2 linked regions of the Arabidopsis thaliana genome follow. The protein of the gene in region 2 interacts with the protein of the main gene of each other region in a pairwise test. Each region holds a gene or a part of one and is shown on either strand. Other genes may lie near its edges.

Region 1 (4,977 bases), 2.5 Mb from region 2:
GAGCTGGTGATGGAATTGCAAGTGGCGTGAAGCCATTTAATGCGTAACGTTTCCTTTAAGGTTTGATAAATGTTGCTTCTTTACGGTTTCTATTTACTGATTTGGAATCAAACATTGATCTTTTAGAATATTTTGGTTTCAGGTTTTCTGCTTAGCTCTGGAATGCTACTATTCTTGGATGTTCATTGAACAGAGAGATGATGATGGTGTTGGATTAAAGACTCTGAAGCATTAGGGACTAATGGTTTGAGGTTAATTGTAAGCAAATGTACATAAGTTTGTAAGTATAAAGAACATGATTCCATAACAGTTTTTGGTGTTCTGCTTGTGCTACTTGAAAATACTTTTGAATTTCGGTTTGAGTGTTGCAAATCTGGACAATATCATAAACAAGCCTACAAATTCAATTTTTTAAACATTTACTTGTTACTAAATTTTGAGATAGTATCACATTTCTAGAGTGTAAGTTTGAAGATAAATTTACAGAAAAATTATAAGTATCACAAGTATACAGATTGATTACTTAGACAGCAGCTGGTGTTGGTGCTGATGCTGGAGTTGTCGTTGTTGAAGAAGGAACTCGGTTTTCCGGGGGGATCTCAGTAAACTCGGAAAGAATTGCCCTGAATTCGTCACCGCCAATAGTTTCTTTCTCGAGAAGCACTTCAACGAGCTTATCCATGGCTTCACGATTGTTCTTTATGTGGCTTAGAGCTATCTCATATGCACTGTCTGATAGTTTCTTCACCGCAGAATCAATGTCTTCTGCAAGCTTCTCAGACATGGAGTTTCTTGCCATCATTCTCATGATGACATCGCTTTGTGCCGAAGAATCCATCAAAGACCATGGTCCAATATCAGACATTCCAAATGTTGTTACCATCTGCAAAGTAAAAATATTCAACAGTCTCAAACACTCAGTTTCATCAACTAGTAAAAGATCAAACTTATCATCAGGCTCCAGCATAACTAATGTGAAGCTGAACGTGTCGCGTACCTGTCTAGCCAAACCGGTGATCTGTTGTAAGTCACCAACTGCGCCAGTAGTCACCTCGGAATCACCAAAGATGATTTCTTCAGCGGCCCTACCACCGAGTCCACCAACAATTCTTGCAAAGAGTTGCTGCTTGGAGATGAGTGTCGGGTCATCTGATGGAATGAACCAAGTCAGACCTCTTGCTTGGCCTCTTGGTATCAACGTTACCTTTTGCACAGCATCATGTCCTGGAGTCAATGTTCTGTAAAAAACCAAAGTTTATAACTTTAAAGTAAGTTTTTGATAGTAATAATATACAGACAGGCTTTTAATATGTTTCTCACTTACCCACACACTGCATGACCAACTTCATGGTAAGCTACCAAGCTTTTGCTCTTGCCATCGGTCATCACTGTTCCTTCCATGCCAGCAACGATTCTATCAATGGAGTCATCAATCTCTTTAGATGATATCGATGTCCGTGCTCGCCTTCCGGCCAATATAGCAGCCTCATTCAAGAGGTTAGCGAGATCTGCTCCGCTAAATCCAGGTGTTCTCATTGCTATTATTTCAAGTGAAACATCATTGTCGAACTTCTTATTGCCGGCATGAACCTTGAGAATATCTGTTCTCCCCTTAACGTCAGGAACGTCAACACTTACCTGCACCAGAAATTATAAGTAAGCACAAGCTCTAGGAGTAGTACAGGATTACAAAACATATCAATGTGTAATAATCAGATAGTACCTGCCGGTCAAACCGTCCTGGCCTCAACAAAGCAGAGTCAAGAATGTCTGCTCTATTGGTTGCAGCAACTACGATAACACCAGTGTTACCTTCAAAACCATCCATCTCAGTTAGGAGCTGATTGAGGGTCTGTTCTCTTTCATCATTACCTCCACCAATTCCGGTTCCTCTTTGCCTACCAACAGCATCTATTTCATCTACAAAGACAATGCAAGGAGCGTTCTCCTTGGCTTTCTTGAAAAGATCACGGACTCTCGAGGCACCAACACCGACAAACATCTCAACAAACTCAGAACCAGAGATGGAGAAGAAAGGCACACCAGCTTCACCAGCAATGGCTTTTGCCAAAAGGGTTTTCCCGGTACCAGGAGGACCAATAAGAAGAACACCTTTCGGGATCTTGGCACCAACCGCAGTGAATCTCTCAGGTTTCTTCAAAAACTCCACCACTTCCATGAAATCTTGCTTTGCTTCATCAACTCCAGCAACATCATCAAATGTTACACCAGTGTTAGGTTCCATTTGGAACTTTGCTTTGGACTGACCAAACTGAAGTGGGTTACCAGGACCACCAGGTCCACCCATTCCACCACCAGACCGTCTCGAAAGAAGGAACAAACCACCAATCAAAAGCGCCGGGAAAGCAAGATTACCAATCAAGTTGAATAACACAGAACCTTGATCTTCCTGAGCATTATGTGCTGCAAAATCAATATTCTTAGCCCTAAGCTTCTGTAGAAGCTCTTGACTTAAACCCGGTAGCTGAACACGTACTCTCTCAACCCGGTTACCCAATTCAGGAGAAACAGCTTCCACAATAGCTATAGTCCCATTCTCATACAAATCAACTTTATTCACCCTATCCTTATCCAAGTACTCTAGAAACCTAGAATACGACATCCTCGACGAAGAAACACCTTGTTCATCAGCATTTGCTTTCCCACTTGCAACCAAACCGACCCCAGCATTTCCTAACAAGATTTTGAGAAAATCTCTTCTTCCTTCTTGCTTCTTCTTCCCATCCAAAGAAGCCTTCACTACATTAACCTTAGATGTCCTAATCACTGAAGAAAAGCTTGTCTGTCTGCCGGAAAAATGTTTACTTAACCTCTGTTTGGTTGTTGTGTTCACTGACAAACCATTTCCCACAAGACAAGCTGATGAAGCTGCCATCTGAAAATTCATCAAAGAAGAAAAATTAATTAGATGATATATCAAATCCCATGAACGATGAGACAGAACAAGCAAGTTTCTTACAAGTACAAGAACCTAACCCTCAGATCAAAGGAACAGTAAACATACTTCGAGTTCTTAATTCAGTGAATTAGAAATCAAGGAACTAAAACTAACACAAAGCGACGAAATCAGAATTTGCCGAAGAAAACCCAGTCAGAGTTATGCAGCGACGGAGATTATAAAAGAATCTAACCAAAGAGAAGAGGTAGAAGACAAACCTGTATCGATTACAGATGAGAGTTGTATAGGGAAGGAGAATCTCGAGCTCTGCAAATATGGAGGATGGAGAGAAAGAGAGGAGAATAGTGCAAGGGACTTGGAGATTTTTTTTTAAGGGAACAGATGTGGTTCGTGAAGAACTTACGTGTCCTTCATTGAGTGGTTTAATTTAATTACCCGAATCTAACCAAAAACTGAATTGGTATCCAAACCAAAATTGGTTTACTCGACGATTTTCAATTACTGTACATATGAATTTCTCTGTTATGTTATGTATTCTCTTGCAATTTGTATATTACACATTTTATTTTATTTTTGTAGTACTCTCAGAGCAACCACATTGGTTAGTTTCTAAGTAAGGTTTCTATGTATTTTTTATTAATTAATTTTGATATTTTTGTAGTTTAGAGATTTTGTAGAGTTTTTGAAAAATTTTTGGTCCATTAAAAAAATCCTTAAGTGAGTTTCTAATAAAACTAAAAAAAAATTTTGAAAAAAATGTGAAAGTGTTTGGGATACATTTGACTCTCAAAACTTGACACAGACTCTACGCTCTCAAAACTTGATACACTCACAAAATTCGACACACAAACTCAAGTGCATCTTCACACGACCATAGCCTATACACTTATACACAGAACAGAACAACACTTGCATGTGCTTGCTATTTATGCTTCCTTGAACTCTTGCATCTCGACAGGGACATCATCCTTAAAACGAAGTTGAAATTCATTTAGAACAGAACACAAACCAATCTATTGAAGTTTGAACACGAACACAAACCAATTAGAACAGAGCACAATGAAACCAATTTAGAACAGAACACAAACAACTTAAGATAATAAGATTCATAACCGAACAGAACAAAAACAAGTGAAGAAGCATTAACCGACACAAAAAGACTAACTTTCAAGACATAAAAGGCACCATTCAAGCATTTGACAACATGTCAGTGATAAGTTTGTTCTTTAAAGCCATTTCAAGATCACTAAGCGGCCCTGTAAGGTATGTAAAAGTATATAGAAGATGACACAAAGTAACATAAAGACAGAATAACAAACAAGATCTGTCATTCTACAGTTGGTTTCAATCGCGTGCTTACAAGTTTGAACCTCAATAGAAAAAGCTAAACAAAAATCAACTTGAAAGATTTTTAACTGACATTAGAAATTGTTATTACCATTTAATTGCAGAAACAAGTAGAGTGAGAAAAGTATTGTTCCAAGCTCAAGAACTTAAAGAATGTAGTCTGCAATTCTACATACACCTGAAAATGACAGCTCTCAAGATTTCAGTAAGAGTACAAATGCTTAACGGTCAATACAACAATCAAACTACTCTTCAACGTTTAGATGAGAAAGAAACACTTAACAGTAATGTGTCACATAAGGACCATATAACCGAAAATAATGGCATATGGACCAATTGTTCATCAAAAGCCATAAAAGAAATGCATAAACCAATCTAATAATATTCTAGTTACTAGTCTCTATACTTACTAAGCACTATAAAAAACAGAGGCTTTTCCATGAGAATTGCAATTCTTCTTCGATAGCAGAAGCATGGTCATGTTCATGTGAATAAACGTATAAACCTTAACATACTTTATGCAGATATTCTATAATTTCTTAAACAACAGAAGTTTAAAACAATGCGTAGAGAACACCACAATTCCAAACAATGCGTAGAGAAAAGGCTATAATTGTTGTGAAAGTTAAGCAAGTTATTGTATGATCGATCAATGACAAGAGAGACACTCACCGGAATTCTATCTGGATACTTCTCTTTAATCCAAGCAG
Region 2 (3,937 bases):
CCAAACGATAACGGGGCTTAAGGATGCTCTTCCTAAAATAGAAGAGCAGAAAATAGAGGTGAATGATGAAGAGAAAGAAGAGGAAGGAGAGGAAGAAGAAGACGGAGAAAGTGAAGAAGGAAGTGAGGAAGAAGAGAGTGAAGAAGAATTGGGTCATGAAGACAAGAAAGCTGCAAGGAAAGAGCACAAGAAGAAAGTGAAAGAGGAGAAACGAGAGTCTAGGAAGACGAAGACACCCAAATCTGTCAAGAAGCGAAAGAAGAAAGTCTCTAAACCACACAAGACTCGTTAATCCGAGTTAGAAGTTTTGACACCCCAACTTGTATTTTTATTTATATTTTGAAATTTTGTGTCAAATTCTGGGAAATCGAGTATGGACCCAAAGCTCTCTATATTTCCAAAAATAGCAAGTTCTTGTAATATTCATAGTATGACTTTATTATAGAGCCCGAAATTGGTTTGCTGCTGTTTCAAGAATAGGATTCAAATTTCTGTTCCTTTCCTCACATCCCTAACCAACTTGACAATTCGAATAATGGTTGTGTCTAAATTTATCAACTCAAGTTTTGAGATTGTTGGCTTATAGTATGAAAATTCTAATCCTGCAACTAGTTTATTTACAACATTTTTTCTTTGTTTAATGAGTTCTTGATTTTATACAGTTTAGTGTTTATGAGCTTTTCTTCTTAAGCCTCTGTTTCCATAGTTTATATCTTAATACGTGTTTTCTCTTTCTTTTGGAGCTTTGATTATCTCTTTTAAACTATGTTTTCGAAGATATCTTTGTTTTCTGCCGGTTTTGTAAGATCGGAAAATATATTTTTATTTTATAATATTAATAAAAAAGATGACAAAACAAAAAATAATGATTTTCTTTCAAACTTAATGAACATAAAAAAAAGGGAAACGAAATCTTATTTTGCCTAGCTGACATAATTAACTAATGCAACTAAATGTAGGTAGGATTAAGTAAACAAAAATATGAGACAAAATTAAACATGCCAACCTCCAGGGCATAGTCAATGGGTCAAGTCAAGCGAAAGTTGGTCTGGATCTTACAATGCAACTTAATGTAAAGTACTCATTTTTCTTCGACATGGGACATCCGCCGAAATTGTTGATTTTTGATCCATCTTTACACTTGTTTTCTCCGATTACAACAAAACATAACAATTCGACTACGATTTAACACCTAACCTTTTTAATTTTTTAGGACACGCATTTAGTATTTACGATGCAAGCCAACAAATTTAATCCAACGTATTAAACACAACTTGCTTTTTGTCAATACGTATTAAATTAAATAGTTTTCTTGCAATTTTTGTTTACACATTTCATTAGTATTGTTTTTTTCCAATATTTTTGTTTCTATGTTCAATCACTATCATATGCATAATACACATTATAATTTTGGCACAATTAGAATTACACACAAGGATTTTATAAATGTTTTTAAAATGATTTACAAAAGATTTTATAAAAATTTTACAAAAGTTTTTAAAAGATTTAATAAAAGTTTTAAAACGATTTTACAAAGAGTTTTAAAAACTTTTAAAGGTTTTAAAGAAAGTTTATGAGAATTTACAAGAATTGTAAAAGATTTATAATAATTTTTTTAGAATTAGAAAGGAGACCCTCATTTTCCACCCAAATCGTCAACCTTCTCATAATTGACAAGTTATTACACTCTCTCCACTTACTAGTTACTATAAAACCAAAGGAGACCAAATCTCTTAGCAATTATGAATTTGGTCTTCGCTATAATCTCACGTTACATTAAATTGGCTCCTGTGAACCTAAATTTATGGACTATGATCCCAACACCAATCCGTTCGACCTTCATTTCTCCGGTAAACTTCCGGTGAGTTTTTCAATTTCTTCGAAAATTTCACTTCAATTTTCGAGGTTGTGGTGATTATTCGTGGTGTTCATATATATTTTATTGCCTGATTTAGAAAAGAGAAGTCTCGGCTTCAGCTTCTAAAGTTGTAGAGAAGAAATGGTTAGTGAAAGATGAGGTTAGTTCTTTCATCGAACACTTTGGTGTGCAATACTTTGACCTCAAAATTTTTGACTATGAGTGAATGGATTAGGTTGATCAAGTTCTCATATCTGATTTAGACATTGAATAGTTTGTTTAGATCGGTGATGCTCAAAAGTTGAACAAATCAAAGCTTTGTCTTACAGCTTAGTTTGGTAATGGTGATTTTCATTTTACACAGAAGAGAAATATGCTACAAGATGAAATAAACCGGGTTAATTCGGAGAACAAGAAGCTAACCGAAATGTTAGCAAGAGTCTGTGAGAAGTACTATGCTCTTAATAATCTTATGGAGGAGTTGCAGAGTCGAAAGAGTCCTGAAAGTGTTAACTTTCAGAACAAACAGCTAACGGGGAAACGAAAACAAGAACTTGATGAGTTTGTTAGCTCCCCAATTGGACTCAGTCTCGGACCAATCGAGAACATCACCAACGATAAAGCGACGGTTTCAACCGCTTACTTTGCTGCTGAGAAGTCTGACACAAGCTTGGTAAGGAGATTTCTACTACAAGTATCGTTCTTTGAGTGTATTGATTTGTTAACGAATGTTTTGTGGATATACGTTACTTGTAGACTGTGAAAGATGGATATCAATGGAGGAAATACGGGCAAAAGATTACGAGAGATAATCCATCTCCTAGAGCTTACTTCAGATGCTCGTTTTCACCGTCTTGTCTAGTCAAGAAGAAGGTACTTTGGTTTAAACTTTGTTAAAGAGTTCTTCGATATCATCTTGCTGTCTGATTAAATTCCCTAGTTGTGTGTGCGCTTGTTTAGGTGCAACGAAGTGCAGAAGATCCATCTTTCTTGGTAGCCACTTACGAAGGGACACATAACCACACCGGACCACATGCAAGTGTGTCCAGGACAGTGAAACTTGATCTAGTTCAAGGTGGGCTTGAACCAGTTGAGGAAAAGAAAGAGAGAGGGACGATTCAAGAGGTTTTGGTGCAACAAATGGCTTCTTCGTTGACCAAAGATCCTAAGTTCACTGCAGCTCTTGCGACTGCTATTTCCGGGAGATTGATAGAGCATTCAAGAACATGAAAGTTCTCTAGAACATGTATATTTCTGTTTTGTTCTATTTTGTTGCTCATTCCTAGTAAAAAGGTAAAGATTTGTTTGATCTTGATTAGGAGGCATAGATGTCAATTTTAATGTGTGTGTATATAATTACATCAAATCTAAGTATCCAAAAAGGGTCACCCCCATTTTATCTTATGTTGAAAGAGTTTTGTTATAGCTCGGTGTAAGTATGGTAGATTGACGCTGCTTCGACAGTTTATGTATCTTCCAATGTTATCTTGTTCAGTTGTTTGTATTAACTTCCATTAGAGAAGAATGTGATGCCATTACAGACATAAAAGAAACAGAGAAACCCGGAAACAGAGTAAAACCACGAAAAACAGAGTCGGTTTAAGAGAACCAAACCAAAATAACCGGTACAGCTATAAAAAGCCAAGAAGAAAAATTATGAACCGAGTCCAAATTAGGTTACGGTTAGCTTCCAATCCCAACTTCTTCTTCTTCTTCATCTGTGTTTAGTCCCAAATTGAAGAATCAAAAGTTTCGTGTTTTGAGAATTTGACAAAAATTTGTTTATGTAATCTTAGTTTTCGCTGATTTTGAGTAAGTTATCGACATGGATATTGATGTCGGACCAGTTGATCCATCTGTCCTATACGAGCAAGACCTCCATGTTTCTTCTGCTGTTTGGGAAGGACAGGTTTTTTTCTTAATTCCCTTGCTAAATTTCAGATTTTGAATTTAGGGTTAATCTTATTTCCCCTTACTTACCTTAGGAACGAGGTCTACTTCGTTGTCAAGAACACACTTCATTGCTACATCAATGGAAACTCACTGATGAACAAATTAACCTCGTGGACAAAGCTGGTT

What was found. Proteins that work in one complex are often made in the same cells at the same time.
Region 1: the proteins of WRKY60 (region 2) and VAR2 interact in a two-hybrid assay, tested with the Arabidopsis thaliana proteins (one large-scale study listed by BioGRID).

What each region holds. Positions count from the first base shown.
Region 1 is NC_003071.7:13,172,611-13,177,587, reverse strand, and holds VAR2 (FtsH extracellular protease family), read right to left. Parts: upstream 3,268-4,977; 5' UTR 3,178-3,267; exon of another isoform or gene 3,069-3,177; 5' UTR 2,909-3,068; coding exon 1,724-2,908; intron 1,639-1,723; coding exon 1,325-1,638; intron 1,239-1,324; coding exon 998-1,238; intron 884-997; coding exon 524-883; downstream 1-523. Other genes in the region: AT2G30960 (myosin-M heavy chain-like protein), read left to right, coding at 1-47. UniProt on the Arabidopsis thaliana protein: Part of a complex that function as an ATP-dependent zinc metallopeptidase.
Region 2 is NC_003071.7:10,628,008-10,631,944, forward strand, and holds WRKY60 (WRKY DNA-binding protein 60), read left to right. Parts: upstream 1-1,654; 5' UTR 1,655-1,804; coding exon 1,805-1,861; exon of another isoform or gene 1,862-1,955; coding exon 1,956-2,018; exon of another isoform or gene 2,019-2,222; coding exon 2,223-2,531; intron 2,532-2,614; coding exon 2,615-2,731; intron 2,732-2,818; coding exon 2,819-3,088; 3' UTR 3,089-3,406; downstream 3,407-3,937. Other genes in the region: AT2G24990 (Serine/threonine-protein kinase Rio1), read left to right, coding at 1-292; AT2G25010 (Aminotransferase-like, plant mobile domain family protein), read left to right, coding at 3,684-3,767, 3,844-3,937. UniProt on the Arabidopsis thaliana protein: Transcription factor. Interacts specifically with the W box (5'-(T)TGAC[CT]-3'), a frequently occurring elicitor-responsive cis-acting element.